Sus scrofa: one gene and its partners. The protein of the gene in region 3 purifies or fractionates together with the protein of the main gene of each other region. This does not show direct contact. Links are inferred from orthologs where the notes say so. Each region holds a gene or a part of one and is shown on either strand. Other genes may lie near its edges.

Region 1 (3,992 bases), on a different chromosome or scaffold from region 3:
TCACTTCCCCCAGACATCGGGGAGCAGAAACCAAGGACCCAGGAACGCTGTCCTGCACACAGGAGTTAGTGCTCCACCAAACCGCAGAAATAAACGAGAGACCTTCCACTTAGGGCCTCCGCAACCTAATAAGGAGATAAGAGAAAAATGTACAACACAGCAAGTGTGGTAAGCGCTGCTGAGATTACAGAAAGGCTGTGAAATTAGACGGGGAGGGGGGGGGACGGACGGACAGGCCTCTGATGCTTCAAGGCTACCCGCTCGAGAGACAGCCATGAACTTGCCAGACATCTGTACAAGCGCAGAGGTAAGTATCTCTGCTTTTCTTGATTATCAATCTTGTCATTCTCAGACGACAGACGGCGGTTCTCTTGAAGAATAAACTGCAGGTTACTTTGAGATGTTCAACACTATCTTGGGAGCGCATCAGAATTTCTTCTAGTGAGAACACAGACACACCCAATCTGAACACTACTTCTGGAGCAATCTCATTTGGCTGGGCACCGATGTTTCTGTATCTGCCAACAATACCCACACACCACATGCAACTAACGCACCCCGAGCGAAAGCCCTAGAAAGAGTTTTGGAGTCTACAATTCTTGAGATCATAATCCCACTTACTCCGTATTTGACGTGGCAAATCCCTCTGCGCCTCATTTTCTGAATCTGATTAGAGTATATATTAATATGGTTATGTGAATACAGTTTGTCTTCCTTAACTAGGATGTCAACACCAGGAAAGCAGAGACTGGCTGGACCACTGCTGTCTCCCCAGCGCTCTGCATACCCTCTAGCACTTGGCAGGTGCTAAACGGGGATGAACAGGCAGCAAAGGGTAACACATCACTCCAGAAACTAGACTTTGACAGTGAACCATGACCTGACAATCTGTGCAGCTCAGCAATCCGGCAACATTATCGCTTTCCAAGATGTAATTATCACATTCTTTTTGAAGCAGAATAAGATAATAATTGGCCTACCTAAAAATAATTAATGTACATGACCCCCCGAAATCCCTCTAACATCGTCCCTTTAATATCAAGGCTTTCCTAAAATGTGACTTGTGAGAGAAAAACAAACATCCGTTTGAGGAAACGGGTTCTTCAATGATTCATCCTTCAGTGTGATTTAATACTGTAGACTTTAATCCCACCTGATTTCAGCCATTTTTTATACGGTTCCTCGGCGTGCTGTATAGAATCTGCTTCTAAAGCCTCTCTCCTATCTGATTCACCATTCAGCACTTCTTAAAGGTATGTGCAAGGTCCCACCCCTAATTTTAAACGGAAGATTGTTTGGGGAACCTGCTATAAGCGTTGAAAAGGGTTGGTAAGACGTAAAAAAGAAGGAAAGATATCAGAAGTCTTTGATAACATAATCACTGGGCCCGCGTTGCAAAGGATAACTTTTCTGTGATGACTCATAATTAAGAGCGCTAGATCTAAGTCCTAAGGAGCTAATGAAACCAATCTGCCCCACCGTGTGGAAAGCTGGTCCTTCTGCTCGAGCACCGAGCACCGGATTGAAACGCACCCAGGTTTTGCTTAACTCGGGACTTTTCAACAGGCATTAGCACTTTCCCCTTAAAGTGGATTTCAGAGCTCCGGTGAAACACACACAGCAACCCTCGCCGTCAGCTCCTGCAAAGAAATACTTCCAGCCACACACGGATGCGTCTGGGGCATTAAAGTAAACAAATGACAGGAATGCTGAAGCCGTTTCCAAGGTTTACGTGGATTCCCCACGACAAGACCGCCACCTGGGCTCAGGGTTGCAAATGGGAGCTCGTTCCTCTCAGGAAGGGTAGAAAAGGGGGGGGAATTTCACCAGCACTTATTTAAAGTTTCCACCTTCACACACACCCCTTCCCTCGGCACCGGCGGGGGGCTCGGCCTCGCCCGCGGCGCGGAGAGGAAACCTGCGCCCGACTTCCGTCCCCTCCGGGCCGGGGAGGAGACCCTGCCTTCCTGCCGCAGCCCCCACGCCCGCCGGGGACCCTCCCCGCCCGGCCCGGCCCGGCCCGGCCCGGCCCGGCCCCGCCGGACGGAAAGGCGGGCGCTCCTCGCGTCCTTCCCCTCCGACCCCGGCCGGGCCCGCGGCCCCGCTCGCGCGCCCACAGCCCGGGTGCCTCGCCGCTCCGCCCCGGCGCCGCGGGGACCGGGGGCCGAGCCCCAGGCGCCGACGACCGGCGCCCACCCCGCCGGCCACCCGCGCGCCGCCGTCCCCCGGGGCCGCTCCGCTCGCGTCCGGCCGTCCAACCGCCCCCGCCCGGCCCGCGCCGCCCCCGCCCGGCTGCGGCTCCGCGCTAGGCCCCGCGGGCGGCGAGGGGCGGGGACCAGGGCCGCCGGCGGGGTCCCGGGCCGCCCGCCGCCCCCCCGCCGCACCTACCATGGTACAGATGGAGGCGAATTTGGAGACTGTCATTAGGATTTCCATCCGCCCAGCGCCATCTTCCACCCAATCACAGCGGCGGCGGGCGGGGGAGGAGGAGAGCCTGGCCGCCCGCTCGCACCGCAGCCCGCGGGCGGACCCCGAGCCGCCGCCGACGCACGCACCGAGCCTGCTCAGCCGCCGCTGCCGTCGCCGCCGCCGCCGCCGCCGCCGGCACTCCCCGCCGCGGGCCCTAGCCCCCGCCTGCCGCCCGCCCGCCCCCGGCTCCTCCCCGGCGCAGGGCGCAGCCGCTGCCTCGGGGCCCGCGCCTGCCCGCGAAGCCGCCCGCCGCACACCCCGCCCAGCGCGCTGGGGAGCGGGCTCCGCTGAGGCCCTAATGCCCGGCCTGCCCGGCAGCTGCGCGGCCCCGCGGCGCGCCCCGCCCACCGCCGCGCGCCCCGCCCACTCCCCCTCCGGCCCCGCCCACTCCCCGAGGAAGCCTCTCCAGCCGCCGAGCGCGCGCGAGTCGGGGAGCTCCGGCGTCGGCTCCACCCCGCGCGCGGCCGGGGAGGGGCTCGCGCGGGCCCTGCCTCCCGCCCGCGTCCTCCGGGTCCTAGAGCGGGTGCGCGGGGAGAGGGGCGCCGGGGGCGATGAGGGCCCTCGGCGGCCGTCGTGCAAGGGGCTGCCCCGCAGCCTCTACCGAGGGCCCTGTCCAGACAGAAAACTGAAGGGGCGGTCTCAAAATTCTGGGTGCGGCGGGAGGAAACGTGCTCGTAAACGGTCAAAATAGCGAAGGTCATAGAGAGTCCCAAACAGCTAGAATGTAAGGTGGTTTGTTTCTTTTTACGCACATTGGGTGGATCACCTAGGTCAAAATACCGAAATGTAGCAGAAGACAAGTTCATTACATAAAAATGAAAGCGGCAAAGAAGAAACTATATACGCTTAGTTCTTTGAATTAAGAAAGGTCAATTATGGGGAAGGGGGCAAAGCTGCTTTTCCTGTCTGCTTGTCGGCCATAAATTTAGAATATGGTTATAAATATAGTATCTAAATATACTGGTTCCAAAAGTTGAGTCGCAAAATAGGGAGGATGTCAACCCCGCGCTGATGATGTTCCCAGAGACGAGAAGTCCCGCAAGTTGAGAACAATGTCCTGTGAGAAAGAGAGATGGTGTTAGTCAGGGGGATAGTTCCTATGTGCCGTTTTTATAAAATGCATCATTGCACCCTGTTCTTTGTGCCAGACAGCTAGGCTTTATTTATTCCTATTTGCGAAAGAAGTTCAAGTTAGTAGCATAGCTTTACCAATTATTATATTAGAAAGCTTGTGATTTTTCACTGTTGGAGAACTCGTGGCGAGGGGCTTTTTGGGGTTCCTCGGTTTCACTGGGGCAGAAATTCAGACAGATCTCTAAAATCAGATATGCCTTAACTTGCAGGTTTAAGACATTCAAAAAACAAAACATTCAAACAAAATTTAGATGAAGAATAGATTTCTGGCACATGAATGCTGTTTCCACAGTGATTTCCACTATAAGCTTGCTTGGGGAGGGGGCGATTGCAAATAGAATATACCCAAGTCCCAGCGTAGCTGGCCCACTTCTCTAGGCACCTGCCTC
Region 2 (3,500 bases), on a different chromosome or scaffold from region 3:
CTGTTATACATACTACTACTGCTCTAAACAGAGGGTTTTCCTGCTCTAAAATCATCTAAGATAAAGAATCTTTGGGGAGTACTAAAGAAAGGCCAAGTCTGGGGCTGAAACTCATGATTTTTTGGGAAATGACTTGAATCTCATCTTTCATCCTTATATCCTGCTACTCCCTTATACTCACTCTGGTCTCTAATTACACAAACCTACTCACCTGGCCCTGAGTAAGCATGTACATTCCTCTTCGGTGCCTCTGTCATTCATTCCCTCTTCCTAAAATGCCCTCCCATAATCAATTTGCTAGAATACGTTAAGGCCCTGTTCAAATGATTTTCCTCCACCAAGAAGTTCTTCCAATTTCTCCAGTTCTAAGTAATCACCCTTGCCCACAAGCTATCCTGCACTCGGTTTATTCTTTCTCTATAAGACTTTCACCTTCCCCTACTCTTGTCCCCCCTACCAGAAGGGATCATGAGATAGAATATTCTGACTTTTCTGTCATCTATGACCCTCAACACAGTTCTCTGCACAATATTCATTCAACACAGGAAATATTTATTGAACAAATATACCAATAACACTAAAGAGGGACATTTGTCAGGATTCTAAAATCAAACTCTTCAGTCTGCCTAAAACGTCTTCAGTGCTATTTAGAATGTGGTTGAACAGCTTAATACATTTCAATTGTCTAAGGAGTAACTGTAAGATGACCCAAAGTAGGAGCTGTGCTCACAGTGATGACTATAAATCCTGAGAAATGGCCAAACGTATTTGGTGCACTCTGGCAGTTCTAAACCTGGCGTGATTTTGCATCCCTCTTCTTCCTTTCTCCCCTAAATACTGGCAATATCTAGAGACATTTCTGTTTGTCACAGCTGAAGTAGGGGATGAGGATGAAGGTGGTCACTGGCATCTACTGGGTAGAAACAAAGGGATGTTCCTAAACATCCTAATATGCACAGGACAGATCCTACTCCTCCCTCCCACCTGCAACAAGGAGCTGTTGGGCCCAAAATGTTAACAGTATAAAGGACTCAGAATCCCGATGTACTCATTCTAGGGGAAGGCAGCATAACACAGTTTGTAATACACTAAACAGAAAATGGTTCCATTCAAATTCTGGGTACTTAAAAAGATAAAAAATAGCCTTATCTAATTTCACGTAAGAAAGTATCCACTCCAAATTAAGGCTGCAATTAAATCCTTATTATGTATTGTCTGTTATTTTACAAACACACATGAACATACACACAAATACACAGACTATAATAAAAAAGTAAAGAGCTACATAATCCAACAAGCTATATTTAATTACAAGAAGATACTTACCTTCAATACATCCCAATACGCCACATTATTATTGGTATCTTTGGTTAATATATGCCTCTTATCATTAAGAATGTGACACTGAATAATGCTAGCACCCCCTAAAGGAAAAAAATCCACATAATTAGCAAAACAATCCTACATTTAAATTCATAGTATGCCAAAAATGTTAACTGGCACGTAACAGAATGTAAATCATACTCGTCCCTAGAAAGGAGAAGGGAAATCAGAAGACCATGTAATTATATCTAAGGCAATTTAGGGCCAATCAAAGAAAGACTGATTTTAATATCACATTAGAGAAGACTCTTCATTCACTTCAAAGGGCTACTACTGGAAAAGGCAAAGCCCTTAATAATATTTTACCCACTGGGAAAAGTCCAAATGATGGAAATCTCCGAATTAGTTTCATCTCTCATTAACTTTTGCTTCCCATCTTCCTTCGCTTTATGCCTCTCGAATAAAGGTAACAGCACAGACTAACTACAGATAAACGCACCATTCAATACTCTAACCCCAAACTCTGACCTTGAAGAGAGAGCTGCGACTCCCAGTTGGAGTGTGTACCCTTTCTGGCTTGTGCCAAAAGACATTAAACCTTATACCTTGTACAAAGTGGCTGCTGGCTTTACCAAGACCATGATTCTTTTAACACTGGGCAAAAAGATTAACTCAAGAAAGCTCTCTCTTTTTTTTGCTTTTTATGGCTGCACCCATGGCATATGGAGGTTCCCAGGCTAGTGGTCAAATCAGAGCTGCAGCTGCCGGCCTACACCACAGCCACAGCAATGTCTCCCAGCTGCATCTGCAACCTACACCACAGCTCATGGCAATGCTGGATCCTTAACCCACTGAGCAAGGCCAGGGATGGAACCTACATCCTCATGGATACTAGTCAGATTGAAGAAAGCTCAATTTTTAAAGTCACTAAAAAGCATTTTAAAAATATCTTTTTTAGGAGTTCCTGTCATGGCTTAGTGGAAACGAATCCGACTAGGAACCATAAGGTTGTGGGTTTGATTCCTGGTCTTGCTCAGTGGATTAAGGATCCATGAACTGTGGTGTAGGTCACAGACTCGGCTTGGATTTGGCGTGGCTGTGGTGTAGGCCGGCAGCTGTAGCTCCAATTAGACCCCTAGCCTGGGAATTCCATATGCCACAAGGGCGGCTCTAAAAAGACAGAAGATAAATAAATAAATAAATAAAATCTTTTTCTTCTATTAAACCAATTAGGAGTTCCCATCATGACGCAGGGGATGAATCCACTAGGAACCGTGAGGTTTTGGGTTCGATCCATGGCCTCACTCAGTGGGTTAGGGGTCTGGCATTGCCATGAGCCGTGGTGTAGGTCACAGAAGTGGTTCCGATCTGGCATTGCTGTGGGTGTGGCTGTGGCTGGCAGCTGTAGCTCTGATTAGACCCCTGGCCTGGGAACCTCTATATGTCACCGGTGCAGCCCTAAAAAGACAAAAAAAAAAAAAAAAAAATTACTATTAACTTCGGTTGACATCAAAATTACATTTAAAGGAAGGTCATCTCCCTTATTTTGTCAATCTCTTAGTAACTATAATCAACCTCAGTAAAAGGTACAATACCTTCCAATATCCTTACTTACCTTTAATAACCTGGTCAGGCTGTGTACACAGGGGTGTTATAGGATTTGTACAGTCATTGTCATAATCTCCAGAGGCTCTAAAATTATGAATTCCCTTCAATGTCTAAAGGAACAAAATTTATGATTTAATTATCTTATGCTTTATAAGCATTGCCAATCCATTTAAAGCGGCAAGAAAGATAATAAATGGATGAAAAAAACTCAACAATAACAACATCAACCAAAAATACTTAGTCACAAAGTACAATTAGATACTACCATGATTAAAAAAATACGACAAATATTAAGAAGAGAATGTTGTCTTTTTGGAGAGAACAGGGGGCACTCTTTTAGGTAAAGCTATGTTGATCTCAAATTGGCAAAATAAAATTTAGACAAAAAAATATAACTTTTTTTTTACAAGTACAGAGAAAGACCACTTGACCTGCATATAAACAGGAATAAACACAGTTTCTCTGTTATTATCACCAATAAAGTCTGGTAAGCAAGAAAACTTAAATCTTCTTCCATTAAGATTTATGAATTAATAGTACTTCTGTGACTTCTCTCTACGTATCCCCTA
Region 3 (4,297 bases):
ATTTTGGGAGGGGTGGATGAGATGAGGAAGAATACTTCAGTTCCCTAAGATCGTTTTGGATTGACTGTAAAAACTATATACACACATTATTTTGATAAAAACCTGAAACTATTATTGAAAAAACAGATCTCTTGGCATTCACTGACTAGACTAGTTATAACTTTGTTTCTTCTACAGACTGAATTAAAAAAAAAAAAAAATCCCCAAATTGTAGCAAACATCTGGAAATTTCTGCTTCAAAGACACTCCCAATAAGAGAGTACTAAAAATATCATACTCACATTCTAACTACAATTATAAAGGAGTATAGTGCTAAATAAATCTAGAGGTAAATGCTGAATCAAATTTTCCAATACTCCTTAGAGTGAATGTAGACCTAACCTAGCTAAGTTGCACTGGCTTAGTCATTTTAGCCTTTTCATGAAGGCCTACACTCTTGACAATATGATGTCCGTAATTTGGTATTAAGTGTAAAAGAGTTACGAAAAACAATGATAAGTCTTTTTTCAAAGTGTTTTCACAGAAGAATATGTAGGCGACACTATGACTTTCTTCCCAATTCAGAAATACTTCTACTTATACATTCCTTTCCAGTTTCACCTGGCACAAAATTCAACCGCTCTGCTATTGAAGAGAATTTGTAATTGTAGAACACCTGTTCTTCACAGCTGATCTTATTTATTTGTAAAGGACACAAGGGTCTTAGACACTGTCTGTTTCCCATACCACCAGCTCAGCACCATGATCAAGATTAACTTCTGGAATCTTTCTTTCTTTTTTTGGCCACACCCATGGCATGCATAAGTTCCCAGGTTAGGAATCCAACCCGATCCACAGCAGTGACCAACTAGATCTTTGACCTGGGGCAGCCCCCAGGGAACCCCTGCAATCTTTCTAATGTTGCCCAGACTGGAACCCCACTAAACGAGGGGTAGGACCACTTCTTGGAAGTGGTTGGAAAGTCGGACCCTTCAGGAAAGATCCTTATTTCTCAATTCCTTCCCTCCCACAACTCACTCCCTCTCCATCAAAAAAAAAAAGTTGTAAAAATAGCCAAGGTTGTTTACCTTCTAGGCCAGAGGGCATTACCTATCTCTCAGACCTGCCCTTTCCTGATAAGCAGGCCAGAAGATCATTTTTTGAAGTTCATTCACAATATACATTTTTGTGACTTTATAGTTTTAAGTAAATATCCAAGTCTTTGAGTAATTACATTTAAAACATGATTAAGTATTTTATAATAAGTATATACAAGGCCTATGCAGAAGTGAAGATAAACTATGAAGTTATTTCTCTAAGTCACTGCATTAAGAGTGGGAGGTAGTAGCAGCAAAAAAAAAAAAAAAAAAATGTTTTACATTTTACAGAGTTCTATTTCATGTAGTTTCATGTTTTTATCAGATGCTCCAAATCTTTTTTTTCCCCAGTGTTGCCATCTTTGTGATGTCCTAGGAATAATCTAATAACAAGTATACAGCACTCACCCTCAAGACTGAAGAGCAACTACTGTAACTAAGTATTTTCGTTGTTCCGCAAAGTATTTCTGAAACACGTCCAATCTAAATTTTATTTGCTCTCTTCCTTTTTCTCTGGCAACTTTTAAATCCTCTGATTCCTTTTCTAGAACTCGAGAAGGAATTCCATTCCATCTCCAGAAGGACACCTAGTTTACATATTTGACCTACAGAAAAATTCCTCTCCAACTCTTTCAAAGGCTAGTAGAACTCTATCCAGGGAGTGTCCCACAACCCCTGCTTTTAACCACCTTCACGGTACCGTCCCCGCCCTACATTCCGTGTGCATTTTAACTTCTTGTCATCATCTTCGAGACTCCACTCCCCACCTCCCGCATCTGCCTTCAATTCCTCCTACTCCCCCCAATTCCTGCCAAAAAGCCCCGTTAGTTGCCTGTTGCATAACTGCTCCCCATTACCGTCTCCCTGGCTTGTCAGCCCCGCTCCCGCCAGCAGGAATGCCCCTTTTTGTCCAACCCCTCCTCCCTCTGCAACACGCCCAGCGATTCCCCGAGATGAAGCTCCTCCGGGGATTCTCTCTCCAGGCCGGGCAGGTCGTGCTTCCAGGCCGGCGCTTCGGAGCGGGGAGCGGGTCTTAACTTTGGTGGTGAAGCTCCGAGGGCAGAGTCGGCCCGCTCCAGCAGGCGCAGCTCCGAGCACACCGCAGCGCCCGGCCAATCACCGCCGCCATCCTCCCGCTGGGGTGATGTCTTCAGGTGTCCGGGGAGAAAGCCCTGCGTACTTCCAGCTCCGCTCTCCGGCCAGGAGCCGCCGGCCCCGGGGCTGCCGGCGCGGCCGAGAGAGGCAGAAGCGGGCCCCCGGGTCTCGAAGGAGCCGGGTGGGCGGCGGCGACCGGGTGGACGCCGGCCCCAAGGCATGGGCCTGCGAGGCGGGTGGCGCGCGGCCAGGGATGGGCAGCGGCGGGGACGGAGGCGGCCGCGGCCTCGGCGGGGACCAGGCGCAGAGGCCTCCGCCGGTGCCGCGGCCCCTCCAGCTGGGTCTCGGGGCAACCAAAGAGCAAAGCGGACGGACCAACGCGAGGCGGGGGTCGCCGGCAGCTTCGGCCACTGCGCGGGGCAGGGGCGGCCTCTCCCTGTTCTTGCTCCCTCCCCAGCCCGTCTGCCCGCCTGTCTCACCTTCAGGACCCGGATCCCGCCCAGCCGGCGGCTCGCGGGCGCTTCGGGCGGCTCCGGGGGCTCGAGCGGGCCCGCGGGCCCCGGCTCCACCTCCCCCATCGGCGGCTGGCTGAGGCTGCACAGGGACGCCCGGCCGGCGCGACGCCGCGCGGAGCCTCGGCGGCGCGCGCGAGCAGCCAGCGGCCCCACCCCCGCGGCCCGCCAGCCCCGCCCCGGGCCCCGCCCTCCCGCAGCCCGGCCGGCCCTGCGTAGCTGCGGGCGCGGTGCGTCCCCCGGACGCTGCGGGCCGCCTGCCCGCGGACCCCGCCGGCGAAGCCAGGCAACACCGCAGGGCTGGGCTTCTGCCGTCTGCCGCCCTAGGTTTGGCGGCCTGAGGCACAGGCGTGTTATTTCTTGCTGTCCCCGCCTCCGAAGCACCCGCAGGGCTAGGGGCAGGGGAAGCTCTGCACCTGTCAATAGTGACTGGAGGACGCTGCTCTCCGCAGAGGGTGGTTCTTGTAACTTAGCTCTTCCAGACGTTTCCTCTGTGCTCCAAAACTGGCCTGTCGCCCTCACTTGCAAAGCCATTGAACGGATTGTTGAGAACACTCACCTGAGCAAGGTGCTTTCTCTTATCAGAGATGCTCATGACATTCTCAGTGTACAAAATGTCAACTCACCTCCCTTTCTCCTCACGTAGTAAAATTATTAGAATTCTGTTCTCTGTTTGAAGGAGCGATGTGGTCTATGAGCCATTTTATTATTTGCAAGGCTAATTTAGAAATTTTTAATTTATTTTTTCTTTCAGTTCCTTCCGTGATAGTTTTGTGACCAGGCCAATGGGCCAAATTTGGAGTCAGCCAGCCTCATTCCAAATATCAGTGCTACCTCTTATTTGATCTAAGCCTTTGGTTCTTAGCTGTGAAATAGAAATTGGTATCTGTCTAGTAGTTATTCTGCAGACTTTGCAAATGCATCAATGTGCTTACTTAACACATAGTAGTGATTCGTAGTAACCATTACAATTATGAATTTCCAAATTTAAGATATACTCAGTTCCTCAGAGTCCTCTCCTTGTTAATCCAACTCTAAATTTTCCTAGGAAATCTTCTAGACCTCTGGATTTTTAGGTCTTCCCCTCTTACAGACGTGTTGAATCTTCAAGCAACTTGTAAGGAATTCAGCAGAAAAAAATTTTCTTACGCTTTGGATAACTGGTATAAACGGTATCGCCTATTATCCATTGCTTCAGCTTGCCTAGTCTAACCCAAATGTATGTTTAGTACAAGAGAGTTTGAGACCTAACAGTGCAGTCTGTGCCCCTCTGTCTACATATATGAGATATCTATTTGTAAATTTTTTTTCTTTTTTTTTTTTTTTTTTTTTTGCATTTTTAGGGACACACCCATGGCATATGGAAGTTCTCAGGCTAGGGGTCCAATCCAAGCTGTAGCCACTGGTCTACGCCACAGCCACAGCCATGTCAGATCTGAGCCGCACCTGGGACCTACATCACAGCTCATGGCAACACCAGATCCTTAACCCACTGAGCAAGGTCAGGGATTGAACCTGCATCCTCATGGATGCTAGTCAGATTAATTTCCGCTGAGCCACGACAGGAACTCCGTGTGAATATTTTAAACTCTAAGGCAAAATTTGAATAAGACA
Region 4 (4,217 bases), on a different chromosome or scaffold from region 3:
TCAGCTGCATCTGCAACCTACACCACAGCTGACAGCAAGGCCAGGGATCGAACTCACAACCTCATGGATACCGGTCGGATTTGTTTCTGCTGCACAGCAGGATTCCCAAATTTGGGGTTTTGACTAATGAAAATTATCTGCTCTATTTTAAAATCAGAAAATAGTTGTTCCCATCGTGGCACAGTGGTTAACGAATCCAACTAGGAACCACAAGGTTGTGGGTTCGATCCCTGGCCTTGCTCAGTGGGTTAAGGATCTGGTGTTGCCGTGAGCTGTGGTGTAGGTTGCAGATGTGGCTCGGATCCCACATTGCTGTGGCTGTGGTGTAGGCCGGCAGCTATAGCTCTGATTCGACCCCTCGCCTGGGAACCTCCATATGCGGCGGGAGCAGCCCTAGAAAAGGCAAAAAGACCCAAAAAAAAAAAAAAAAATCAGAAAATAGAATCACAAAAACAATCACATACAGTCAGAAATAACAAAAAATAAACGCAAACGCATTCATGGAAAATGAAAAAACAGTTTTTCTCTTTATAGGGCCGCACCCTCGGCATAGGGAGGTTCCCACGCTAGTGGCTGAATCAGAGCTGTAGCCACAGCCACAGCAACTCGGGATCCGAGCCGTGTCTGCGACCCACACCACAGCTCATAGCAACGCCGGATCCTTAACCCACTGAGCGAGGCCAGGGATCGAACCCGCCACCTCATGGTTCCTAGTCAGATTCGTTTACCACTGTGCCACGACAGGAACTCCAAGAAAACTTTTATTTAAAAAGGTAACTGCTACCACTAATTAATTGTTCACATATTTAGGTTTTATGTACTTTTAAATTTTATGTAATTCAATTTTAGTAACTTAAAATTTTAAACTTATTTCCAGAGAAAAAGCTGATCTTTTCAGTTCTCGTAGCAATGTCAAGACAGGAGCTCCTGTTTGACAGTTGCTTTTCATGCTTATTTTAACCATACTTTACAACCACTGAGTGTTGCGGGGCTTTAAAGTTCATCACAATCATTACACCATAAATCACAAGGTGTGTACTGCAATATTCACTTTTGAAAGAGCTGCAGATAGAGGTTAAATAACTCGTCCAAGGTCACCCAACAAGTCAGTGACAGAGTTGAGAGTAGGACTAAAACTTCAGCTCCTTGACTACTAACTACTTCACTTCTCCAATTCCGAAGGAGAAAAAATAAAGCCGCAATTTACTTTCAGTAATCTGCAACAACAAGATACCTCAAACGCAGCCGTACACTTACCATAAACACTACCAAAAAGATTCACCCAGAACAAATGAGACAACGTGTTACATACATCTAGATACCACGGTCACAGCCCTAGCTCTTGGAATCCAGCAAAAACTAAATCCCCAACAAGTTCACCCTTCAATATACACAATTTACTCTCACACTAATCGAACATGTATCAGTCAATCGATTATCACTGTTTCCCACGCCCAGGTGCTGGGAGGTACACTAATTTCCTCACTCTTCTAAGAGTCAACTCAAAGACCGCACATCTCAAAAGGAAGCAGCTGTCAATGAGAACGAAGTTATGTAGCCAGGGAAAGAAAAGCTCTAATAAGTTGCCCCTTTTGAAGAGACATGTTTAAAGGATGATTACATGCTTGACAGAATTACTGTTAAAACGCCCGCCAAGAAGAATGGTTCTAGTAAAGCAGCTTTTAAGGCAGAGCCCTCCCTGTTTGGGACACAGCCTGACTTGTTGGACAAGACTGATCTGGGCACGCTCGCACAGAACCCCTGCGAACCAGCGTAGTTCACCGCAAACGTCGTTGCCACCTAACTCTAGCACTCAGCCTGTCCCATGCTCTAAGGGACACGACCCTGTGACACCCTCTCAGGAGAAGGTTCCCTCCGCGGAAGCAGTGACAGCTGTCTTCCCACGGATGTTTCTGGACACAGTGTTACCATCAGAAGGAGGGGCTCCCAGGAAGTGTCAGTGCGGCAGCAGGTGGAGTAGCCCTTCGTGCCGAGCAGGTCCTTTCTGACCTATCTCAAGTGCTCCGCTTCCCAGCCCCGGTTCCGCCTTACAGGTCTTCCCAGGCCGCCCCGCGCCCCGGTTCCCTAACCCGGAGCGAGACTCTCAGCCCTCCCAGGAGGCGAGGCGGTCTCAACAGACTAGACGGCCACCCCACCTCTTCCGGGGACCCGCAGGCCCGCTCCCTGGCCGTGTCAGAGACGGACAGACCCTGCCGGAGGGGAGGCAGCCGGCGCCTTCTGAGGCCTCCCGGCCGGAACCCCGCGCCCCGCGGTCCCTTTCCACCGCCCCCACCCGTCCGACACCCCGCCGCCGCCCTCCTCACTCCCGAAGCCCCTTCCTCAGGCGCACTCCAGTGGAGTTACCGGCCCACTCAAAAGTAAGAGCGACGGCCACCCCCCCGGTCACCCTGGCCCCGCTGTCACCGCCCTGCTCCCGGCCTCGGCCCACGCCGCTGGCGAGCCCCGGTGACGCCCGGGTCGGTACCTTGCGGACCCCCTTGTAGATATAGAAGTAGAGCTCCCGGCCCACATTGAAGCAGAGGCGGTCGCCGTTGCCAGACTGGTCGTTGAGGTTTACGAAGGAGACGCGGACAGGGTTGGATCCCTGCGAGCTGAAGGGCACCCGGTTGGGCCGGCTGTACTCCGAGTGCGGCAGCAGCTTGTACAGACCTTCCCGGGTGGTGAATTGGGTCTTAATCTCGTTCATCTCCTTCCCTCCTCCCTCCGTCGCCATCTTGGAAAGCAGCGTTCATCCTGCCCTAAGTGCCCGGATCACGCCCACCGCGCAGGCGCCGTCTCGGGCTCCCGCGCTCCCCCCGCCCCTTTCTCCTGGCCCCTCCCACCTGCGAGCCGGCCCCGCGGAGGCCGGCGAGGAGAAGGGGACGGGCTTGTTTACGGCCCGACTGCGCAGGCGTGCTCACCTGGCGCGCTCCACGCGGCTGGGCGTGCGCAGGCTCCGCCCCCGGGCGCGGCCTCGGGGCGGGGCTGCGGTTGGGGGTCTGGGGGCGGGCCGGCCGTTCCACCGCCCCCGCCGCCCCCGAGCTGGCCTGCGGGAGGCGCTGACGTGAGCTCGCGTGGGCTGCTCAGCTGCCCCGGTCCTGACTTGCAGTCCTGGGACCCCCAGGGGCGGAGGAGAGCGCCGCCTCGGCCGCCGCCCAAGTCGGGGTCGGCACATGGGGTACCGTGAACAGAGCTCGGAAGCCCCCGTGTTCTACCCACGCGAGGGTGCGGGAGAGCCCCCTTCTTCTGGGGCCTCCCCTCGGCCCCCCGGCTGGACCGTCCGGACGCCTGGGTCAGGAAGCCCCTCTGCACCTGTGCATCCTGAGTTCGTTTCCGAGAAGGTACCGAAGACCCTGTTTTCCGCTTCATCATTCGTTTTTTCAGGCGAGGCGGCGGGGAAGGGAGTGTACCTGCCCAGCACCTGTGTTGTTAGCAAGTCAAATATCTGAATACCTCTCTGGGGTGAGCCTTGGCTAATTTAAGGAAAGCAGGTAGTGATGGCACGTCTGTTTTAAGTTTGTCTCCACCAGGTGTTTAGAGAAAGGAGGAGGGAAATGGCTTTGGGAACTAGGATCTAAATTAAGCAGAATTCAACTTCTCTTACTCAATAGTTTATCAGGAGCTCTTAGAAAAATTGGAGGCTGTTGATTTTTTTTTTAAGGCTTAAGCGGAATCTGCGAAATTGTTTGCCAGGCGTAGTTGTGTGGCTGTTCTGTACTCGGTCTAGACATGTAAGGACAGGCACACGTGTTGCAGATTAAACAATCACCCTTTTGTGCCCAGGCTTCTTGGCATGTTGCCCTGGAATGAGAAAGTTCCTAAAGTGACAGAAACATTAATGATAGAATGTGGGGGTGTGGGTGGGGGAGCCAGCATTTGTTACACGAAGAGTGATCCATCCCTTTGTGTTCACATCACACCTGGAGGATCACAGAAGAAGTGGAGGGGGGTAAGTTCGCAGGTAAGAGGCGTCTAAATCATAAACATCCTGTCTTGCAAAGCAAGCAGGTGCCAGTGGCAACTGTACCAGTGATGTAATAATGCATTTGACACCAACGCCCTGTGTCCTCTGTCCATGTTGTCAGAACACTAGAGTCACCTCCCCTTAATGAGACCTAAAATGCCTCAGATGTTTTGTTACAGTTGTTTTCATGTTGTCTGGCTTCTGCTAAAAGTCAAACAGGTATCAGCAGTCTTATAAAATGCCGGAATGTATT
Region 5 (3,980 bases), on a different chromosome or scaffold from region 3:
CCGCTGAGGCTGCCTGCGGGCGCCCAGTCCGCCTTCGGCTCCCAGGGGTCAAGGGCAGGCGGCAGCCCTCGCTGGGCCATCTCCTCGGTGCAAGTCAGCTGGCGCCTGCGGAGCTCCTCGTCCGTCTCCTTGTCCACAACGAGCAGCCGCGTCTGGCCCTCCACAGCCTTGATCCGCTGCACCACCTGCGACGGGCAGGAGGCGGGAGCCGGTCACGGCCAGCACCCCAGGCAGCACATGGATAGCAGCACCCCGGGGGCAGGCCTTGAGCCTCCCGGGCCAGGTGGGCGGCTGGACCGCAAGGCCCGCAGCTCCTCCCCCCACCCCCAGCTCCGGCGGCTCCCGCCCTCCTCTCCCGGGGCTGCCGAAGCGGGCCGGGCTCCAAGGGCTGCAGGGGCTGCGGGGGCCTCGCCTGGGCGCAGGCTCTTCTCTGGGGAGGGGCCGGGAAGGGACAATCGCGGGGCTCGGCTAAGCCTCGGCTTCCCCGTCTGCACGTCTGGGTTTGCGGGGGGGGGGCGGGGGGAAGGGTCTCCCTGGGTCCCAGGCTCGGTGTGTCTGTGCCTGGCTGCCTCCCCCGGTGGAAGAACCTGCGTCTAAGCCTTCCATTCTCTTTCAGACCGTGATCATGGGCCTCTTCCTGCTGGACCTGCAGAGGGAACACCTAGGTGCTTGTGGCAAAACACCTCCTCAGGCGCCCGCACGCAACCCAGGAAGCGGGACTCAGACGCGGCAGGCAGAGCTAGGGAGGAGCAGGTCCACCTGTGGGCCAGGCGTGCTCACGCAGGTGTCTGGGAAGCATCTAGAACATGTGCACGGCCATGGAGCCTTCATGCCTGTGTGTGCCCGCAGGAGAAGCAGTGCCCACTGGGCACTGGGTAGGAAGAGCAACACCCCCACGCCCACCCCAAGGCCCGGACGACAGACAGGGCCCGCACCAGCCTCTCAGTAGATGGCAACAGAGCAAAGGGTCCGAGCCAGGCCCACCTTTGCCCCGGCCCCCTCTGTATCTCTCTCCCCCTGTGACCCTCAGCGTCACAGGACCCCAGCAGCCCGATGCTGCCTGACAGTGGGACCCAGGTGAGTCACCCAGTATCTGCAACTGTCGGTTTGCTCGCCTGCAGAACGGGAGCCATGATGGTACCTCCTCTCCCCCAGGGCAGTGGGAAGGTCTCCCCGTGGTCCCGCGTGTGAAGTCCTTGGAGACCACACCCAGGGAGGCCTGGGGTGAGCCTCGCTCTTGGAGAAGACGGCAGCTGATGTCAAACAGAGGCCAGGCGCCAGCTGCGCGGGGCCCGCCCCCTGGCCTGTCAATCCCAGACCTCGGCCCCGACCCCCACACCCCCGGCAGCAAAGAGCCTCATCCTGCCAACACTCGGGGTAAAGAACAGGCCGGCAGACAGATGGGCAGACAAAAGCTCCAGAAGAGAAGCGGTTCGGCTCCCAGCCCAGCCAAGAGCCAATTTACACATCTCCAGGCCCCAGGGCCGGCCACATAGACAGGTGCTGGGGGACGCGGGGATCCTGAGCAGAAGGGGTGGAGGAGGACAGGACCCAAGCCAGGTGATCCCAGGTCAGTGGGCGGCAGACACCCCCCAGGGATCAGAACCTGAGGAGAACCTCCCCCTCTGGCCTTTCCCCTCAGCTGCAGGAGGCCGGGGGGTACAGCCAGTGACGCCCCCCACACACACCCCCACCCCCCACCAGGCTGCCCAGCAGCTTCTTAGGACAGGAATGTGCTGCCACCAGCAGCGACGCCCACCAGGACCCAGACACCAACCGTCAGGACACACACTAGTACACCAGCAGGCAGACACCCGGGCCAAGACAGATACACACAACCCAGGTCAGGCACCCCACCACACACACACACATCTAAGCAGTGCAGACCTGTATACTCACGTGCACACAGTCCAGCACACACACACACACACACTTAACTGATGCAGACACACACAAGTGTGCCCTCACCGCGACACCCCGCACGGTACACACAAGGGTGATCCCCAGAGGGACCTGCACATTCACACGCATACCCATAGTGCACGCGCGCGTGTGTCCCCACTGACAGAGAAGCGCCGGGGACCCCAGGCACACGGAGACCCCCGAGGCACCAACTCCTGCACAGACTGTACGGAGGCCGGACAAGACTCAAGAGCCAGGGCCAGAACCGGAGGAGCCGCCGCATTGCGGGCCCCTCCCTGCCAGGATCCCCCCCACCTCCGCGGTGCGGAACCGACGGGGGCGGGGGGAGGCCAGGAAGGAGGCGCTGCCTCGGTGGCCACGTCCCCCGCCTGTCCCCGGGAGCCCACGTAGGCCCTTGTGCGACCCCTCCTGGCCCCGGCGGGGGAGCCGAGGCGCGGGCGCAGGCGGCCCGGTGGTCCCTGGCGCCGTCCGCGCGCGCGCGGGGCAGGGACGCGCTCCGGGGATGGGGGGCGGCGGGGCGCAGGCACCCACCTGGTGGTGCGTCTCGCCCTCCACGTTGACGCCGTTGACCTCGACCAGGCGGTCCCCGGCGCGCAGCGCGGCCGCCTCGGCCGGGGAACCCGGCTCCACGCGCCGAATGAACTGCCCGCGGCGGCCCTTCTCGCCGTGCAGGTGGAAGCCGTAGCCGTGCTCGCCGCGCACCAGGAGGCACAGGCGCGGCCGCAGCGGCTCCGGGGCAGCCATGGCGCCTGCTGCCCACCGGCCGGCCGCGGGCTGGCCACGGCGCTCACGCCCGCCGCGGGCAGGCGGGGGCGCTGGGGCGGGCGCGGGAGCGGCGCGGGAGACCCTGCGGCGGCCTCGGCGGCTCCCGCTCGGTTCCCGTCGGCTCCGGCTCCGGCTCCGGATCTGGCTGCGGCGCCGCCCCCGCGCCCGCCCTTTCCCCGCCCCCTCTGCCCTGCCGCCCCCGCCCCGGGTCCAAGCCACCCCGGCCATCCCCCTGCCTCGGCGCTCCGCCCGCGCCGCGAGGCCCCAGGAGGGGCCGCAGGGCCAGGGACCCCCCCCAGTCCTTCTCTGTCTCGCCCCCCTTCGGTCAGCCTCCTTGGGGCCAGCCGCCTCCCTCTGTCTGTCCAGAGGCTGCCTTCGTGGCCTGTGACTGGCCCCCCTGCACCCCACCTAGTACTGCCACCCCTGCAGGTTGTGGGGGTGGGTGTGGAGTGGAAGCCGCCACATACCACCCCAGATGGGGCTCAGGGATCACCCCATAGCAGCCAGAACCACCCAGGACCTGCCAGGCTACAGCTTTGAGGCCACACCAGAGTTGAGAGGGTGGTGGCCGGAGGTGGTCCGGAGACCCCCAGACCAAGGGGTAGGGAAGGCAGGTACCCCTGGCCGCTTGGCTCAGGAAGCTTAGTGACCTCGTCCCCTTCTGTAGACCTGCCTCCTGCAGCCCAGCACTCAGCCCGTGAGTGCCGGTGGCCAGGAACAGAACACCGCTGTAAGGCGGGTAACTAAGTGACATGGTCACAGCCAGGGGCCAGGAACACCACACCCCAGAATAACAAAGGAGGCCCGAAAGCACCAAAGGAGCCGAAGGAGTACCGAGAGAGGCTCTCCGTCTAGAGTAACAGAACATCCAAGGAACGAGGGGGGCGGGGAGCAAGGAAGTGGGTAACAGCAGGGGCCAGCTGAGACCTGCGGGTGGCAGTTCCAGAGTGGGAAGAGAAGGAGTGAGGGGGACGGAAAACAGAGGGCCTGAGTAACAGAGCTGAAGAAAGGTGGCCCAGCAGCTCTCGGGGCAAAGCCTCCCAGGCCTCCTCCCTCAGCTCCACGGGCAGGGGTGTGGGAGGAGAAGGCAAGGTGGCAAAGCCGGGAGCACGCATGCAAGGTGTCAGGGCTGGAAGCTTTTGGGTGGCTGGGAATGAGCGAGGGGAGGTGAGTGGTGAGGCCGGCAGCAGCCAGGAAGGCGGTCAGGTGGCAGGAGATCAGAGGTCTGGCCGCTGGCCCTGGCCCAGAGAGAGCGGAGGTATGTCAGACCTTCCAGGCCCTCTCTCCCCTGG
Region 6 (4,086 bases), on a different chromosome or scaffold from region 3:
AGGGGCAGGGGAGCGGGGTGAGAAAGGTATGCGCTGCACATTTCTCAGGCTACTGCGTTTGCTTTCAAGGCAGAAATCTTGCTCTCTGAGCAGAGTCAGCAGCTCTGATGGGCCTGACAGGCCGATAAGGAAGCTCTCCGAGGCCTCTCCCAGGCAGAGCAGGGAGGAGCCTGACCTTGCAGGGGATCTTCTGGGGCACAAGGCAGGTCGCAGACAATCCAATCACCTAGGCTGCTCCGGGCCTTTAGCATTTGTGTATTCCAGAATTAAACTACAGTATTTTGGAAAGTACACCCTGTCCGCTGCTTTCTGCGGTGCACATAATGTGTGTGTGGGGGAGGGGGCGCGGAGATCATGCTGAAAGCATTGTTGTTGCTTATCACTGACTGCCAAAATCATTTGATCCTCATCCTTCAATGTCCCCAGCTGGTCACCTCACCCTTAACAGACCCAGCCTCTCATCTGAAAGAAAGAATTGAAAGGTCTCCCTTTCAGTCCTCATCATTTTTCTTTCTCGGATGAAAAAAGCCAAGACTCCTTTTCCTGTGGACTGCACCCCGAAATTGGTTACCTGTGTTCTGCCTCTCCCCGCCCCCACCTCCCTAGGCAAAGGCTGACGCCAATGCCACACCATTGCCCTAGGTGTCCTGTTTTCGACAGGCAGCTCTCTCCTCTCTGCTGAGCCCTCACATTGTCCCCGCGAGGATCCAGCAGGTCCTGGGACAGCGCACAGTGACCCTGCAAACGGGAAAATACCATTATTCAAACCACTCTGTCGGGTCCGAGGTGGACCTAGGTCTTATTCGTGGGGTCTCCGGACGGGAGCGGGTGTTCCTGGCAACAGTTGCCCCTACTCCCACCTCCAACGGCAGCTGCACATTTTAGCTAAAGTCTGTCCAAACGTTAGTCTCCTTTACCCACGGGGTGGCTCTGCTCAACCCCCGACACAGGTGGGAGGAAATCAGAGCAGATCCTGCAGGCCGCTCTGCCCAGTACAGGAACTCGCTCCCGCCTCCTTGTGCCCCCGCCTCCCCGCTCGCGCCTCAACTCCAGCCACTTGGTAACAAACACTTCCACTTCCTGAGCTCTCTTTCTTCTCCCGCCGCGGGGCGTCTCACAGAGCGCAGAGTCCCGCCCCTGCGCACTCCCATTGGCCGGTGTTGTTCACCCGGCCAGAGCGGCCCCAGTTCGTGGCCTCTGATTGGCCCTCGGTGGTCCACACCCTCTGCGCGGCCCCGCCCCCGAAATAAGGGGCCGGGTCGGGTTCTGGAACTCTCAGACGCCGCGCGGGGCGGGGATTGGTCTGAACGTTGCGAACTCTGCTCCCAGCATTTCGCCGCCCCGGCTCCCGGGACACCTGCTCTCTCTCAGGTCCCGCGGCGCCAGGTTTCCCCTCCGCTGTCGTTCTCGCCACCCCCGCCCGCAGGGTAGGGAAAAGGGTTGGACCATCCCGTCTCCGAACTCTGCTTCGCGCCGCTGAAGGCGAGATGAGCGCGGACTCGGCGGCCGGGGCACCCTTGCCCCGGCTCTGCTGCCTGGAGAAGGGTCCGAACGGCTACGGCTTCCACTTGCACGGGGAAAAGGGCAAGGTAGGCCAGTTCATCCGGCTGGTGGAGCCCGGCTCGCCGGCCGAAAAGTCGGGACTGCTGGCCGGGGACCGGCTAGTGGAGGTGAACGGCGAGAACGTGGAGAAGGAGACCCACCAGCAGGTGGTGAGCCGCATCCGGGCCGCACTTAACGCCGTGCGACTGCTGGTGGTCGACCCCGAGACCGACGAGCGGCTGCAGAAGTTGGGCGTCCAGGTCCGGGAGGAGATGCTACGCGCCCAAGAAGGGCCCGGGCAGGCCGAGCCGCCGGCCGCCACCGAGGCGCAGGGGGCTGACAGCGAAAATGAGCCGCCGGCCGCCACTCCGGAGCCGCACGAGGCGGAGAAGAGCCGTCAGGAGCCAGTAAGCGTGGGCCCGGGCCGGGAGGCGAGGCTGGAACCGAATGGGAGGGGGAAGAGTGGGGAGACCCAGGCGCCCCGGACGCCCGGCCCTGCTCCCGCCTTGTCTTTCTGAAACTCGATCCTCAAGGGGGAGACTGCTTCCGCCCGCGGATCGGGCGAATTGGCAGTTGCAGGCTTGAGGCTGCGACTCACGACCCCTACTCCTCTCCCCAGACTGGGCTGGGACCCCGAGCGTCTTGGCCACTTGCACCTCTTGTCCCTTGGCCTGTGGGAGTAGGAGTCAGAGAGGGCGGCGCAAGGGAGCCCAGTCCCCTTTTCCGCACTCTGTTGGTGGCGTCTGCTCCCGTCCCTTGGGACCCCCAGTCCCACCTCAGGCCCGCCGGACTGACCAGCTGCCTTCGCCGCCCCTGAGGGTGGTGAATGAAGCTGGGCTGAAGTGAGAGCAGCCCTGACTTCCAAGAACTAAAGGAATAACTACCCCCTCTCCGTGTGGCGCCCCGATGGGAGGAGAGGGGTTACCGACTGCGTTCTCCTGTCACTTCCCCCATTCCCCATAGCCCGCTGGCGCGTGGATCATTAACTGCAGCCTGGCTGGACTTCATCCTCCTCCTAGAGTCTGGTGTGACTTCTAAAAAGGAGACGCTCCACCACCGCAGATGATGTGTGGGGGTGGGGTGCGTGCGGGGAGGAGGTGCAGAGGCGTCTGGTGGGAGTGGGTGGCGGCTCTGTCACCCAGGAGGATTTATGATTCTCAGGAATGTGAGGAGTAAGCGCTGGCTTGTATCTGGGAGCAGGAGGGAAGACCTTGGAGGAGGAGAAATGGCTGGGGGAAGGGGGGGGAGTGGTCCAGGGTCATTGGACCGTAATAGCAGCCAGCATGTCACCACAGGCAGGTGCCCTTGCCCTGGCATCAGCTGTGTTACTCCAGTCCCCAGACAGCAAGCAAGCTGGTTGTTTTTTTGCCCATGTTTGGTGTTTAATGAGTCCAGTTTGGATTAGTTGCAGGGGTTGGGGGCAGAGGGAAAACAGGACTTGCCCTGATCCTCCTGTCCCCTGAGAGTGACGGGGAAGGCCTCGCGGCAAAACTGGGGAGCAGGGCCTGGACCTCCCCAGGGCCCATTTGGCTTGTACCAGCTCTCCACCTGCTGGCGGGGGTGTCCCTGGTGCCAGTACAAGCCTCCCTTGACAGAGAAAGGGCACAGTTCAGCCTTTAAGGTAGAAGGTGGAGCCTGAGAAAACCAACTGGTTTGGTGGAAGTGAGGTCACCTGGAGCCCTGTCCGGACAACACTGGGTGCCAGGGCCGCCAGGCTCCTACTTCCTGCCACTGCCCAGCTGGCATCGGCAAGGGTTGGGGCAGGGTCAGAGCACCCCTGGTGGGGTTTGACACCAGGGAACTGGAACTCACGACCTCTGGTCCCAGGCAGAAATCCAGTTTGAACTTTGTGCTGAGTGCATCAATTTGCCATTCCGTTTTTTTGTTTTCTTTTTTTTTTTTTTTTGGACTTTGGCACTTTCACAAGCAACCCGCCCCCCCCAGGTTGCGGTCATGTTCGGCTCCTCCCAGTGCCCTTTTGGTTTCGCTGCTGGGTGCGGGAGGGCCTGCGGGGAGGTAGAGGACAAAGAGCTAGAATAGAGGCCTGGCCTAGCACGTGCACCCCCCATCAGGCCTTCTGGAAAGGCAGCTCTCTGGGTGAGCACAGAATCAGATTCCCTGCATTTGTGTGTGTGCTCTGTGGGGCCCCTAGAAGGGAGTGAGACCCCCAGCCAGTCCCCAGCGACATCGTCACCAGGCCTCTTGGGGTTTCAGGTCACCAAGCAAGTCAGAACTTCTCTGTGCCATGGTTCTCCCATCTATAGAATGGGGGTGTTGGTTTCCAGTGTCACCTGCCTTCTCTAGAATTTTCCAAATAATGGGAAGTACTTGAGCCCCTAGTGGGTGCTGGACAGAGCTCCTTTTACGCCCAAGCGTTTGAATCCCAGCTCTGAGTGAGTGAGCTGGGGGTCCCTCAGCCTCTGCAGAGCTGCTCAGCAGCGTTGATCCCTCTGGTAGGAAGTTCCTGGCGTGGGAGCATGCAGGTGACCCACCCTGCCTTTGAAAAAAAAAATGTATTAATAGACATCAAACATTGTTCCTCAA
Region 7 (4,269 bases), on a different chromosome or scaffold from region 3:
TTCTAGGGCCGCTCCCTTGGCATATGGAGGTCCCCAGGCCACAGGTGGAATCGGAGCCGCAGCTGCCGGCCTTTGCCAGAGCCACTGCAACTTGGGATCCAAACCACGTCTGCAATCTACACCACAGCTCACAGCAACGCCGAATCCTTAACCTACTGAGCGAGGCCAGGGATCGAACTGGCAACCTCATGGTTTCCAGTTGGATTCGTTAATCACTGAGCCATGACAGGAACTCCAGGGACTGATTCTTTAAATCCATGGAAATATACAGAGCCAAGAAGACCCCAAGAAAGCTTTAGTCGGCTGTTGTCTTTTTAGTCCCATCCCAGGTCCTAAGCATATTAGCAACCAACGGTTCTGAAATCTTACGTGTAGAACACTAAATAGATAATGGAAGACAGCGTGCTCTTTTCCCAGTATGGGACTCTTGGTTGGATAAAAGCTATTTTCAATTATATTAATTTTCCTCTAATTCGATTTGTCACAAAGTATATTGGTTTAAGAATTATCACCGGTTTCACTTGTACAACTTCTCCGATGAAAGCAGTAAATTGTAACCTTGTATGAGAACTGTTTCACACCTTCGGAAATTGGCTCCTCCACTTCACAGGAACCTATCTGCTAAGTGGTGTAGATTCGCTGCTTTGAGTCAGAAACCATGACCTTTTCTGCAGGAAATGCGTACACGCCCATACGATGACCCTTCTCTCAGGGGTTGGCTGCCCCTGAGAGAGGTATGCTTTCCTCAAAGGTGCGGAAAAGTTTGGTTTTCATGCTTTCCAGATTCAGATCTCTCCTCGGCCCTTTCCCAGTCCTTGCGGAGACCTCTCCTTTGTACCTGCTAATGTCACAAATTGCCCAGCGAGCCTTGTCTGGCCTCCGCCCAGACCCAGATTCCTGTCCCCTCCCGGCGCCCTCGACCAGGCAGCTAGCCCGCGGCTGGCCAGGGCTCTCGACCCCACCGTGTCCTGACCCCGTTTACTTCTTGGGTCCCCGCCGGTGCCATCTGGCCGGAGTCCCGGGGAGAAACGAAAAGTTGGACGTGGTCACCCCAGCACCTTGCCCCTTCCAATCTCCCAAACCTTAAAATCCCCTGGGCTGCGGAGGGCCGCGCCGCAGGCGACAAGTGAAGGCAAGAAAGCGGCCCCGCGTCCCCGGCGGCCTCTCTGCGGCGACGTGCCCGGCTTCCCCAGCCCGCGGGCGGCCCCTTCCGCCGGCCGACGCCCGACGCGGGCGCGGTCCCTGCCTCCCCGGCCACGCCGCGGCCCAGAGGAGAGGGAGGAGGCCGCCGGCGTTTCGGGGTCCGCCCGGGGTACCCGCAGCAGCGCGATCAAGGGCCTGGCTGCGTATTCCAGCCCATACAGAGCGAAGCAGGACCTTTTAAAAAAAGAAGAAAAAGGCCAAGCCGGGGGTGGCCGGGGTTGGGGGGGGCGGAAGAGGGAGGAGGAGCCGCGGGGACCGGAGCCGGGGACGGGCGCGCGGCGGGAGCGCTCGGGGCGCGGGCTGCACGCGGCGCTCGGGCCGCCCCTCCTCCCGGCGCCGCCGGCCGCGGCCCAGGCTGCTTCGCTCCGCCACTCCCCGCCCCTCCGCTCTCCCTCCCGCCTCCCGCCTTCCCCGCCCTCCCCGCCTCCTCTCCTCCCTCCCGGCCTCCCTCTCCCAGCCAAACTGAAAGCCGGAGCCCGGGCCGCCTCCCCGCCGCCGCCGCCGCCGCCGCCGCCGCCGCCGCCGCCGCCGCGCCCGGCCTCCCCGCGAGCGCTCCACCATGGCCGGCCCTGCTTTCACCTTATAAAGATGGCGGTGCGGGATCGCTGCAACCTTTAGACTAATGACTGTCCGAAACATCGCCTCCATCTGTAATATGGTGAGTGGCCGCCGCCGCCTCGGGGGTCGCGCCCTAGGCGCCGCAAAGCGAAGAAAGGGAAACCCGAGCCGCACGCCTGCCGGGCGGCCCGCGGGGGTGGGGGCGTGGGGGAGGCGGGGGCCTCGCGGCGCTGCCCCCGAAGTTCCGGGCCCCCGGGCGGGGCGGGCCGGTGGCGGCCCCGGGAGCGGGCGGGGGAGGGGCCGTCGGGCCACCCGCCCCCCTCTCGGACCCGGGACCCGGGAGCTTGCCCGCCGGTCCTCGGACCGCGCCGCTGCACCTCGGTCCTCGGGTTGCGGTGGAAGTGTCTTGGGGGAGGGGGCAGGCCGAACCCGGACGTCCCGGGGGACCGGGTTGGAAGAAAAGCTGGGGCGAGCGGGGGTGGGGGTGGGGGGCACCCATCCTGCCCTTGCGGTAGATAAAGCCCAGCCCGACTCCGTGACCGCCCTCATCTCGTTTTTTTTTTTGAGTTCACTCCTTAAACTGTATTTAAAAATTCACTTGGCAGAGGCCATCGCTGTATCTGGAGACATCTGAAATGCGATAAAGCTGTAAAAAGTGCAAAATGTGGTTAGGGAAGTGAACTTCTACCTGGCTTGGGAAAGCATGGCTATTTGTTTTGGAGGCCTCAGTTTCCCCACCTGTGAAAGGGGCACAAGGTTATATGGCAGTAACCCTTAGAGGCCCTAAGGATGGGGCTGACTGGGGGCGTGGAGGTCTCCAGGGTTATCCTGCCAGATGCTCTGCAGACCCAGCGCAGGCTGATGGGCCTGGACACAGCAAGGGGACTTCGCTGGGCTCCATCTGAGGATTGAGTCCACCGTCATGATGTGGAGATCACTTTAACTTGGGTTTCTCCCATTGCTTTCCCTTCCTTTGCAGTTTCTGCAGGAACAGCCAGAGCCCTTGGGTCACCAGGGTGCATCCTGCTGGTACCTCCACTTGTCAGAGCCTCAGAGAGCACAACCTGCACCCTGGCGTCAGGCATTGCCCTCCTGTGCGGGGTTTAGAGAGGGTGTACTTTGCCTCCACCCTCTAGGGGTACCACTCCCCTCCCCCCAGCTGGATGGAACACATGTTCTTTTAGTGCAGGGTTCGGGGGGAAACCTCCCTTGAAACACGCCACTAAAGGGAATCTGAGGAGGCTTGATTGAGAAGCCTGGGAGTAAGGTGATCTGGCTGCCCTTCCCCCCATCACCCAGCTTTTTAAATCTTCTGTCCCACATTCTATTGCAAGATTAACACATGGGAAAGGAGCATTAAGGAGCCATGTGTTAGCACAGGGGTGGCATCCAGACCCACTGGTGCTGGCTTCAGTTTTCAGCAGTGTTGATGGTGGCTGCCGCCCTCGTTGGCAGAGCACATGTGGGGCCTTCCCAGGGGGACAGCTGCAAAGGTATTGGTGCAGGACCCCTTGCATTTCCTCTCTCCCCTCCTTCTCCACTCATAGACAGGTCTCCCGCTCCTCCCTGTCGAGTGGCATGGATGTTGCTTGGTGCAGTGAAAAGGTGATGCCTTTCTTCTCGGTTTCTCTGTCTGCTAAGACCTGCTCCTGAGGGGAACCGTGAAACCAGAGCAGCTCTAATCCTCTGCTTGGTGCCTGCTGGGGTGGCCTTGGGCTTACAGGGCAGTGAAGCCATTGGTGTTGTTCCTATCCTGCTTTGTGTGTGGTGACACCTCTCTGGATTGAAGCCAGCTGGGAACTGGAGTGTCCCAAGACAAAGCCAGCCTCCAAGCTTTTTTATTTTATTTTATTTTTTTGTGCCCTCAGTGCAGCTGGGGCTTCTTGGCACACCTGAGCCGAATGTTACAACCCATTTCCAGTAGAACTTGGCCGGGGAGGCAAGCTGCAGGGAGAAGGTGAGAGGAAAGGGCCAGCACTGGGTCTGGAGAGTTGACACCTCACGCGGAGTCCCTAAAAAGGCCCCCAATTTAGGATCATCACCCAGGCGAGGTGAGGAACCCATAACTCAGAACTAGAAAGTTTTACGTTCCTATATAGACACCGTCTGGAGTAAGCGATGAAGAGTTTGGTCTCTAAATCAGACTTCCTGGGTTCAGTGTCCTGGTTCTGACACTAGCTTTTTGTCCTTGAACCAGTTGCTCTGTCTCTTTACTCTCCTTACCTATAAAAGGGGGAGGCTAAGGGTTCCTGGCTCATGGGACTGTTGTACTAAATGAGTTACTGAGCCTAGTAATGAGCCAGTGCCCATTGAGTGTCAGCTGATATCTACATCACCTTTCTCATTATTATGTCACCGTCAGTTGTCCAAAGGACAATGGAGATGATGTGTTTGTGGACCTGCTGGAAGCAGCCACTCATCGAAACAACCCACTTGTTCATGGATGCAAACCAGCCTGACTGTGGTGTAGATGGCCCAGTGGGAATCCTTAGCCCCGCCCCTTACAAA

What was found.
Region 1: the proteins of PHLPP2 (region 3) and USP12 purify together in Homo sapiens (affinity purification with mass spectrometry; 3 studies listed by BioGRID and IntAct, with this or other methods). This does not show direct contact. The link is inferred for Sus scrofa from reciprocal best matches to the Homo sapiens genes PHLPP2 and USP12.
Region 2: the proteins of PHLPP2 (region 3) and WDR48 purify together in Homo sapiens (affinity purification with mass spectrometry; 5 studies listed by BioGRID and IntAct, with this or other methods). This does not show direct contact. The link is inferred for Sus scrofa from reciprocal best matches to the Homo sapiens genes PHLPP2 and WDR48.
Region 4: the proteins of PHLPP2 (region 3) and WDR20 purify together in Homo sapiens (affinity purification with mass spectrometry; 4 studies listed by BioGRID and IntAct, with this or other methods). This does not show direct contact. The link is inferred for Sus scrofa from reciprocal best matches to the Homo sapiens genes PHLPP2 and WDR20.
Region 5: the proteins of PHLPP2 (region 3) and SLC9A3R2 purify together in Homo sapiens (affinity purification with mass spectrometry; 3 studies listed by BioGRID and IntAct, with this or other methods). This does not show direct contact. The link is inferred for Sus scrofa from reciprocal best matches to the Homo sapiens genes PHLPP2 and NHERF2.
Region 6: the proteins of PHLPP2 (region 3) and SLC9A3R1 purify together in Homo sapiens (co-immunoprecipitation; 3 studies listed by BioGRID and IntAct, with this or other methods). This does not show direct contact. The link is inferred for Sus scrofa from reciprocal best matches to the Homo sapiens genes PHLPP2 and NHERF1.
Region 7: the proteins of PHLPP2 (region 3) and USP46 purify together in Homo sapiens (affinity purification with mass spectrometry; 4 studies listed by BioGRID and IntAct, counting the BioPlex papers as one, with this or other methods). This does not show direct contact. The link is inferred for Sus scrofa from reciprocal best matches to the Homo sapiens genes PHLPP2 and USP46.

Annotation. Positions count from the first base shown.
Region 1 is NC_010453.5:4,686,992-4,690,983, forward strand, and holds the start of USP12 (ubiquitin carboxyl-terminal hydrolase 12), read right to left. Parts: upstream 2,801-3,992; 5' UTR 2,437-2,800; coding exon 2,389-2,436; intron 1-2,388. UniProt on the Homo sapiens protein: Deubiquitinating enzyme that plays various roles in the regulation of the immune response and inflammation.
Region 2 is NC_010455.5:23,763,066-23,766,565, reverse strand, and holds part of WDR48 (WD repeat-containing protein 48), read right to left. Parts: intron 3,042-3,500; coding exon 2,939-3,041; intron 1,425-2,938; coding exon 1,327-1,424; intron 1-1,326. UniProt on the Homo sapiens protein: Regulator of deubiquitinating complexes, which acts as a strong activator of USP1, USP12 and USP46. Enhances the USP1-mediated deubiquitination of FANCD2; USP1 being almost inactive by itself.
Region 3 is NC_010448.4:14,713,122-14,717,418, forward strand, and holds the start of PHLPP2 (PH domain leucine-rich repeat-containing protein phosphatase 2), read right to left. Parts: upstream 2,801-4,297; 5' UTR 2,750-2,800; coding exon 2,651-2,749; intron 1-2,650. UniProt on the Homo sapiens protein: Protein phosphatase involved in regulation of Akt and PKC signaling.
Region 4 is NW_018084979.1:976,986-981,202, reverse strand, and holds the start of WDR20 (WD repeat-containing protein 20), read right to left. Parts: upstream 2,801-4,217; 5' UTR 2,735-2,800; coding exon 2,486-2,734; intron 1-2,485. UniProt on the Homo sapiens protein: Regulator of deubiquitinating complexes. Activates deubiquitinating activity of complexes containing USP12. Anchors at the base of the ubiquitin-contacting loop of USP12 and remotely modulates the catalytic center of the enzyme.
Region 5 is NC_010445.4:39,950,025-39,954,004, forward strand, and holds the start of SLC9A3R2 (Na(+)/H(+) exchange regulatory cofactor NHE-RF2), read right to left. Parts: upstream 2,801-3,980; 5' UTR 2,668-2,800; coding exon 2,455-2,667; intron 1,318-2,454; exon of another isoform or gene 1,134-1,317; coding exon of another isoform or gene 1,116-1,133; intron 186-1,115; coding exon 1-185.
Region 6 is NC_010454.4:6,480,740-6,484,825, reverse strand, and holds the start of SLC9A3R1 (Na(+)/H(+) exchange regulatory cofactor NHE-RF1), read left to right. Parts: upstream 1-1,286; 5' UTR 1,287-1,487; coding exon 1,488-1,949; intron 1,950-4,086. UniProt on the Homo sapiens protein: Scaffold protein that connects plasma membrane proteins with members of the ezrin/moesin/radixin family and thereby helps to link them to the actin cytoskeleton and to regulate their surface expression. Necessary for recycling of internalized ADRB2.
Region 7 is NC_010450.4:39,579,191-39,583,459, reverse strand, and holds the start of USP46 (ubiquitin carboxyl-terminal hydrolase 46), read left to right. Parts: upstream 1-1,469; 5' UTR 1,470-1,825; coding exon 1,826-1,861; intron 1,862-2,260; exon of another isoform or gene 2,261-4,269. UniProt on the Homo sapiens protein: Deubiquitinating enzyme that plays a role in behavior, possibly by regulating GABA action. May act by mediating the deubiquitination of GAD1/GAD67.